Ovis aries: one gene and its partner. The protein of the gene in region 1 interacts with the protein of each later gene in a pairwise test. Links are inferred from orthologs where the notes say so. Each region holds a gene or a part of one and is shown in the gene's direction. Other genes may lie near its edges.

Region 1 (3,642 bases):
CTGCTGCTGCTGCTAAGTCGTTTCAGTCGTGTCCAACTCTGTGCGACCCCACAGACGGCAGCCCATTGGGCTCCTCCATCCCTGGGATTCTCCAGGCAAGAACACTGGAGTGGGTTGCCATTTCCTTCTCCAATGCATGAAAGTGAAAAGTGAAAGTGAAGTCGCTCAGTCGTGTCCGACTCTTCGCGACCCCATTGACTGCAGCCCACCAGGCTCCTCCATCCATGGGATTTTCCAGGCAAGAGTACTGGAGTGGGATGCCATTGCCTTCTCCTGCCTTTATAAAATGTGACTGTGTGAATGAACTTGTATATCCCTCTTTGGGCACTTAGGTTTCACTCCTAAACACGTCACCATTCCACTAGTCTCTGTTTTCATATATAAATCTCTCCTTGTTTCATCAAAGATAGACTTTGTGTTTCTGTTTCTTATTCTTCTGCTGTTCTTAGGGTGACTTAAGAAAGGTAACGAAAGCAGAAAGGTATTTACTCCATTATCTTTATACTGAAAGTCTCTTAGATTTCTTTTTTCTTTTGCCACACCATGTGCCTTGTGGGATCCCAGCTCCCCAAACCAGGAATTGAACCCATGCCTTTGTCGGTAAAAGCACAGATTCCTAACCACTGAACTTCCAGGGAATTCCCTCTTAGATATTGACTTTAAAATGGAATTTGAAAGAGAGTCTACATTTTAATTATACAAATTCTGTTGGATATTCTATAAATATCAGTGATAATATTACTATTTTTCTCTAATTAAAAAAATCCAATACTGCTTCCTTGTATATGAAGATTCTTTCTTTTTGATTGACAGAGTCGTGTTGGTATCCAACTATACACGAACCCTGGATATTTTACAAGAAGTCTGCAAGCGTCATGGATATGCTTATACAAGACTTGATGGACAGACCCCAATCTCTCAAAGGCAGAAAATTGTTGATGGCTTTAATAGTAAATACTCTCCTGATTTTATTTTTTTGTTAAGTTCAAAAGCTGGTGGTGTGGGGCTTAACCTTATTGGAGGATCTCACTTAATCCTCTATGACATTGATTGGAATCCAGCTACTGATATCCAGGTAGGACTGTTTCTATATTAAACAAACAGTATAAAATGCCAAAGGGGGATACGGTGCCTGCGGGGATATGAGGGTGATGATGAAGTATAAGAACTGCTGCATATTCAGCCCTTTTTTTGTAGCAGGCATTCCACTAAATGCTTTACATCTGTCCAGTCCTCACAGTAGTCCTACAGGTGTGCATGCTGTAAGCTCCGTTTTGCAGATGAAGGTATGGAAGCTTGTTCCAGGTCACATAGCTTGTAAGAGGCAGAGTCAGGATTCACACCCAAGCCTGCATGTCTCCAGGCCCTACTTGACTCTAGTTAGCGGGGCCTTCAGGATGCCCATGGCCATCAGGGGAAGACAGCAAGGTGTTAGTAGGCGCCATGATCGGTGTTCGTGTAGGGTATAGTGAAGATGCAGGATTAGCTTCCTTAGGAAAATCTCTCAGAAGCAGCCTTTGGTTTTCTTCAGAGTACAGTCCATCTTCACAGATTTTGAGGTTTCTACCTATAGATGTGCACCTCACCTGGTAGCTGTGTTAGGGGACTGGGAGACAACCCTCAGGTTCAGTGATTCACTAGAAGGACTCACAGAATCAAGAAAAACAGTTTTACTCAAGTTAGGCTTTATTACAGTGAAAGGATACACAGGAAAATCAGCACAGGTAAAAGGTACTTAGGATGGAGTCCAGGAGAGAGCAGGTACAAGCTTCCAGTTTTCCTTTCCCTATGGAATTGTATGGACAACACTTAATTTTCCTAGCATCAGTGAATGACAACACCCATGGAATTTTGTCAACCAGAGAAGTTCACCTGAGCCTTGATGTCTAGACTTTTGTTGGAGGTTGGTCAGGTAGGCACGGATTGGCCTCTGCAAAGGTCAAACTGGCCCAAGTCCCCACCTAAATCACATCGTTAGCATAAACAGCTCTATGGCCCAAGACCCCAGGTAACCTAAGATGCTTTTATCAGGTACAGTATTCCAGGGGCTTCCAGAAGTTGGTTGAGGGCCATGATTTTCTTTGGAATGTTCAGGGTTTGAGCATCAACTTTTTACTAAATAGTATCACTGATAAATCTTAAAACCTCAGGGATCTGCCTAGAGCCTGAGCTGATTGCAGGTATCCTAAGGTTCCTTAGAAGTGAATCATTAGCCTGTTGGACCGAGAATAAACCCTCCATGCCCATGCTATCCTTGGTTCTTTGCATTCTTACTTCCCAAACTTGCTATCCCAGTTTTTTTTCGATGCAGATAGACCCTCTCACTGTTGCATGGCATCCTGTATTTTACAGTACCATAGCGAGAGTTCATCCCTTTCTTTAACTCAGGAAAAAAAAATTGAAGTGGAGAAGGCTTAGTTATGCCTGGGCTTTGGTTTTTGAAGCTGTAAGTGAAATCTAGAATTCCTAGTCTTAAATTTATGAACACAAGTTGCTTATGTGGAGAAGGTTTCTATTTTACTTTCAGAATTCTCATTTATTTTCTACAGGCAATGTCTAGAGTGTGGAGAGATGGTCAGAAGCACCCTGTACATATTTACAGACTCCTAACCACAGGTAGTAACCCTTCAGTATGAAAAAAGGTGTATTCTCTTTGAGTAAATAAAGGTATTTTGTGTGTTAAACTGTGCTTCAGTACCAGGAATATTATTTTGTTAGCTAGTATAATAATAAACATATTTTACCCTACCAAAATGCCAGTTGTAAAGATCTGAAGGAAATCTAATGAATGTTTTCTCTTCAGGTACAATAGAGGAAAAGATCTATCAAAGACAGATCAGCAAGCAGGGTCTTTCTGGGGCAGTTGTAGACCTATCCAAGACATCTGATCATATTCAGTTTTCAGTGGAAGAACTTAAAAATTTGTTCACATTGCATGAAAGTTCACATTGTGTTACTCATGACCTGCTTGACTGTGAGTGTACAGGAGAAAATCATACAGGTTAGTTGTATTTTAATTCTGTTATGATGATGAAGTTAATTGGTCTCTCTTTAGCAGTTGAAAATATTTAAAAACAGAATGACTAAAATATTGACCACTTGCATGTTAGTTTCTTTTTTCTTCAGGTCTTAGGGCAGCTGCAACATGGATATTTGAAAAATTTTTTTTGCCCCCCCCCCCCCCCCCCGCTGCTGCCTTTTGTTTTTAATTGGAGGATAATTGCTTTACAGTGTTGTGTCGGTTTCTGCTGTGCGACAGCATGACTCAGATATAAGTGCACATGTATCCCCTGCCTCCTGAGTCTCCCTGTCACCCAGCCGAGATGCGCGTGCTGCACAGCTGCTTCCCGTGCAGCTGTCCCACACGTGGCGCTGTTGATCTGTCAGGGCTGCTCGCGCAGTCCATACACGCCCCCTCCTCCCCAGCTGGTCCACAGTCTGTTCTCTTCGTCTGCGTCTCTGCTCCTGTCCTGCACATAGGTTCGTCAGTACCGTTTTTCTAGATTACATATGTATGTATTAATATACGACATTTTCCTCTTTTTAACTTAACTTCACCCTGTATAACAAGCTTCAGTTTCATCCACCTCACTTCAGCTGACTCACATTTCTTCCTCTTTATGGCTGAGTAACATGCCATTG
Region 2 (4,387 bases), on another chromosome or scaffold:
TTGCCTGGAGAATCCCCATGGACAGAGGAGCCTGGTGGGCTACAGTCCACAGGGTCGGAAAAAGACGGACTTAGTAACTAAGCACATTCTTTCACATATACTAAGTGCAAAAGAAAACCTTAAACAACAGCTGTTTTTAAAATGCAACAGAAAATTTACACTTCCACAATAATTATATTCCAGATTTGGTGTGCCCAGAAGGCACACATTTAAGTGCCTCCTATTCGTGTCTGACATATACATTAATTTACTGAGGCAACAGGTCTCTTTCAACTCAGAAAAGGTTTCTGAGCTAAGAAAGGAAATCTGGACTGAGAAAGCCAAATTGGAGTCTCCAGATTTGGGAAAAATCTCAAGGTCACTATTGTTTTAGAGCTTACTCCCACCTGCTTTGGGTCATTAACCCACTCTTTCCAATCATGGAGCCAAGGTGAACCTGGCCAGGCCCCAATTCCAGTCCAGACTCTGCCACTTACTGGGCAATCTTGGAAAGTCATCTGGACCCTCTGAACCTCAGTTCCCTCCACTGTAAAATGGGAATTATATGCATTTGTGAGGATTAAACAAAAAGAAGGGTACCAGGAATTTGGGGAAAGCTCAATTATCGCAGTCATTTCCATAATATTCCTGCGAGGGTTCCTTGGATCCAAACAGTTGTTCAAGGCCCTTGAAACCAATGACTTCCTCCCAATCTCACTCCCATTATGTCCTTTTAGATGAGAAAGGGAAGGGGATGGAGAGGAGACCAACCACGGCTAAGGGCAAGAGGAGGAACCCACAGCGCAGAGAAGCAGGGGTGAAGGAGAGGAGAGTCCAGGGTGGAACCCTGGGGCTGGGGCTGCAGGGCGGGGGTCTGGCCTGGGTGCGGTCTGAGGGTCAGGGAGCTGGGGCAGCGAGTGAGGGCCAGGCCCCTGGGGGTGCGGTCTGAGGGTCGGGGAGCTGGGGCAGCGAGTGAGGGCCAGGCCCCAGGATGCGGTCTGAGGTCAGGGAGCTCGGGCAGCAGAGGAGGGTCAGGCTCTCGGGGGGTGCAGTCGGGGGGCCGGGGCCGAGGGGAACGGTTGGCCGGCGAGAGGAGGCTCCCTGCCACTTCCAACCCGCCCTGGATGGAGTCTGAGGGTCGCTTCCCACCCCATCCATCATCCCACCCTGTCCCTGAGGTGGGTGGCGAGGGTCGAGCCTGAGACCAGGCCTTGAGGCCTCCCTCACGTTTCCTCAGGCAAGAGGCGGCTCGGCCGACTGCGGCGGGAGAAGACATTCTAGGTCCCGAGTTACCAGAGCCGTTGGGGCCGATGATGCAGGTGAACCTCTTGAAGGGGCCTATGACCTGGCGGCCCCGCCATGACTTAAAGTTCTCCACAAGCAGCACTTCCAAACGGCTCATGGCTGCGCCCTCCGCGCCTCAGCTGTGTTCTCTCACGCTGGCGGGAAAAGCGCGGGAAGCGCCTCGTGCGGTCTCGCGAGAGGAAAGCGAGAACACCTGCGAGCCCTGCGCTGTTTCTTAGCAACCGGAGATGTTTACGTTTCCGAGGAAACCGAGACTCCAGGCCTCTGGGGCAGTGAGAGAAGGCCGATTGAAAGCCTCTTGGGCAGGCTCGCATCCCACCTGCCCGGACTCCTAGGGAGCCAGCCTCGCTGGGCTTGAGCTAGTTTTATTTTTGTTGTTTTCTCTCTTAATCTCGCATGTTTTTGAAACCTTTTAGAATTTCTTAGCAATTCGCAGTCATGGAGGTAGCAGAGCCCAAGGACCTGCAGGAGGATTTTGTCCTGGCCAAAAGAAGATATGCAGAGCTGGGCAGGCAGAAACGGATTTTCAACGCCAGGAACAGGGTCATCGGGGTGAGACCCTCCGGATCGGAAGGGAGAGGAGCCAGGAGGGAATGGTGGGGGAGGGGAGGGGGACAAGGGAGCGGGGGAAACAAGAGAGGCGAGCAGCGAGCGGCAAGAGATGATGAACTATTGGAATGAAACTTGTGATCCAGGCACAGCCGCGGACGGATCCAAGCTTTGCCGGGAAGAATTGTTCCACGTATTGAGTTTGCGGAGAATGAGGGAGACCTCAGAACAAGACCGAAAAATGCTCCCTGTCACTTGCCAGTCAGGCAAATTGAGTCCTGCAGCGGGGAGCGAGCTTACCTGGAGTTAGTGGCCAGAGACTGGAATGCGATTCTCCTCTCTCTGAGCCAGACTTTCTACATTGCCAGGGATTTCCTCCAGTCCATTCAACAGACAGATGCCAGTAGAGAGAGTTCTTATTTTGTGGCAAACCTGAGCCAGGCCTTGGAGATGAGGGATAAGACGATCCTTGACTTTGTGAAGTTGATAGCCCAGTGGATGAGGCAGGCGTTAAAATGGCCACATTATAATGCAGGGAAGTCCAGGCAACTAGGGCTGGGAGAGGAAAGCAGAGAGGGCTTCCCGGAGGCTGCTGCTGCTGCTGAGGAGGTAATGCTTAAGTAGTGTTCTGAGGATGAGGACCTACTGACTAAGAAAGGGAGAAGGAAGCTCTAGGGAAAGTTAAGACAGGCTGAAGAACCAACAGAGGCACACAAGGGCATTTGGGTATGAGACGATTTGGTTTATAAAAAAATAAGTAGGATTGTTATCAACTGAATAAAATTGTCTGGCTCTTATTCTCTCCCATTGTTTTCCTTACCCAGGGTGACACCATGGCCTGGGATGCTCAGGTTTGTGACCAGAACATAAAAGCAGCAACTTTAAAAGCGAGAGAGGAAGCCTTTGGTGAGCATTCTCTGAATGGCCATAGTTCAGGGCTGTGTGCCTTTAGACCCAGGTCACATTCCTCATGTATGTAAAGCCTTGTCATTTTCACGCTCTTCTTCCTTTTAAAATTTCAGTTTCTTGTGCTCAGTTAACTTAATGCACCAATTCTTCCACACTTGAAAATTAGCTATTGAATTCTATATGAGTAGAAAATATATTGTGTGCAGATATGTAAATTTTTCTGTTTTCTTTAAAAAACTAGGTATGAAAAACCTCATACACACACATATTCTCTGCCAAAAGCTCAAGACCTTCTACCAGGGACAGCTGGTAATAGTAGACAACACACACTATTGAGCCCATACCCCAGAGCTGACTCAGAACCAGGCACGGTTCAAGTAAAAGTGTTCTGGCTTGTGGGTCAGATTCTCAAATAGTATTCATTTCTGCCCCAGTTATGTCCAACAATGCCTTTTAAAGCACCATAAGGATTTTTTGAATAGAAAAAAAAGGATACAAAATTATATGTACAATGGGTTATCAATTAAGTTTAAATATATAAATATACATCAGTTCAGTTCAGTTCAGTCACTCAGTCGTGTCCGACTCTTTGCGACCCCATGAATCGCAGCACACCAGGCCTCCCTGTCCATCACCATCTCCCAGAGTTCACTCAGACTCACGTCCATCGAGTCCATGATGCCATCCAGCCATCTCATCCTCAGTCGTCCCCTTCTCCTCCTGCCCCCAATCCCTCCCAGCATCAGAGTCTTTTCCAATGAATCAACTCTTCACATCAGGTGGCCAAAGTACTGGAGCTTCAGCTTCAGCGTCATTCCTCCAAAGAAATCCCAGGGCTGATCTCCTTCAGAATGGACTGGTTGGATCTCCCTGCAGTCCAAGGGACTCTCAAGAGTCTTCTCCAACACCACAGTTCAAAAGCATCAATTCTTCGGCGCTCAGCTTTCTTCACAGTCCAACTCTCACATCCATACATGACCACAGGAAAAATCATAGCCTTGACTAGACAGACCTTAGTCAGCAAAGCAATGTCTATACATAAGTTAAAAATATATAAAAATATGTTTAGAAAAAGACACCAAGGAGCTATACCAAAATATGAGCACTGGCACATTTGGAGTGATGGCATGATGAATGAAGTTTACTTGCTTCTTCATCAGGTCAGTTCAGTCGCTCAGTTGTGTCTGACTCTGTGACCCCGAGACTGCAGTGCGCCAGGCTTCCCTGAGCTTCACATCTCCCCGAGTTTGCTCAAACTCATGTCCATTGAGTCAGTGATGCCATCCAGCCATCTCATCCTCTGTCACCCTGCTCTCTTTCTGCTCTCAATCTTTCCCTGCATCAGGATCTTTTCTTCTTTATAGTGTTTCATATTTTCTTTTAAAATTGTAGTGTAAAAGTAATTGAAACCTGTGATAAACCATAATGGAAAAGAATATAAAAAAGAATATATATATATATATATGTATAACTGAATCACTTTGCTGTACAGCAGAAATTAACACAGCAATGTAAATCAATTATACTTCAATAAAATTTTTTACAAAAGTAATTCAAACTTACAGAAATGATGTGAGAGACATACATATACCTACCACCAGACTAGATATGAACATTTTGCCAACTGGCTTTAGATATCTTATAT

Evidence for each region.
Region 2: the proteins of RAD54B (region 1) and RIBC2 interact in a two-hybrid assay, tested with the Homo sapiens proteins (2 studies listed by BioGRID and IntAct). The two-hybrid records come from large-scale screens. The link is inferred for Ovis aries from reciprocal best matches to the Homo sapiens genes RAD54B and RIBC2.

The regions. Positions count from the first base shown.
Region 1 is NC_056062.1:82,873,749-82,877,390, forward strand, and holds part of RAD54B (DNA repair and recombination protein RAD54B), read left to right. Parts: intron 1-813; coding exon 814-1,075; intron 1,076-2,549; coding exon 2,550-2,616; intron 2,617-2,803; coding exon 2,804-3,001; intron 3,002-3,642. UniProt on the Homo sapiens protein: Involved in DNA repair and mitotic recombination. May play an active role in recombination processes in concert with other members of the RAD52 epistasis group.
Region 2 is NC_056056.1:221,716,253-221,720,639, forward strand, and holds the start of RIBC2 (RIB43A-like with coiled-coils protein 2), read left to right. Parts: upstream 1-1,542; 5' UTR 1,543-1,722; coding exon 1,723-1,836; intron 1,837-2,657; coding exon 2,658-2,739; intron 2,740-4,387. Other genes in the region: SMC1B (structural maintenance of chromosomes protein 1B), read right to left, coding at 1,273-1,381. UniProt on the Homo sapiens protein: Microtubule inner protein (MIP) part of the dynein-decorated doublet microtubules (DMTs) in cilia axoneme, which is required for motile cilia beating.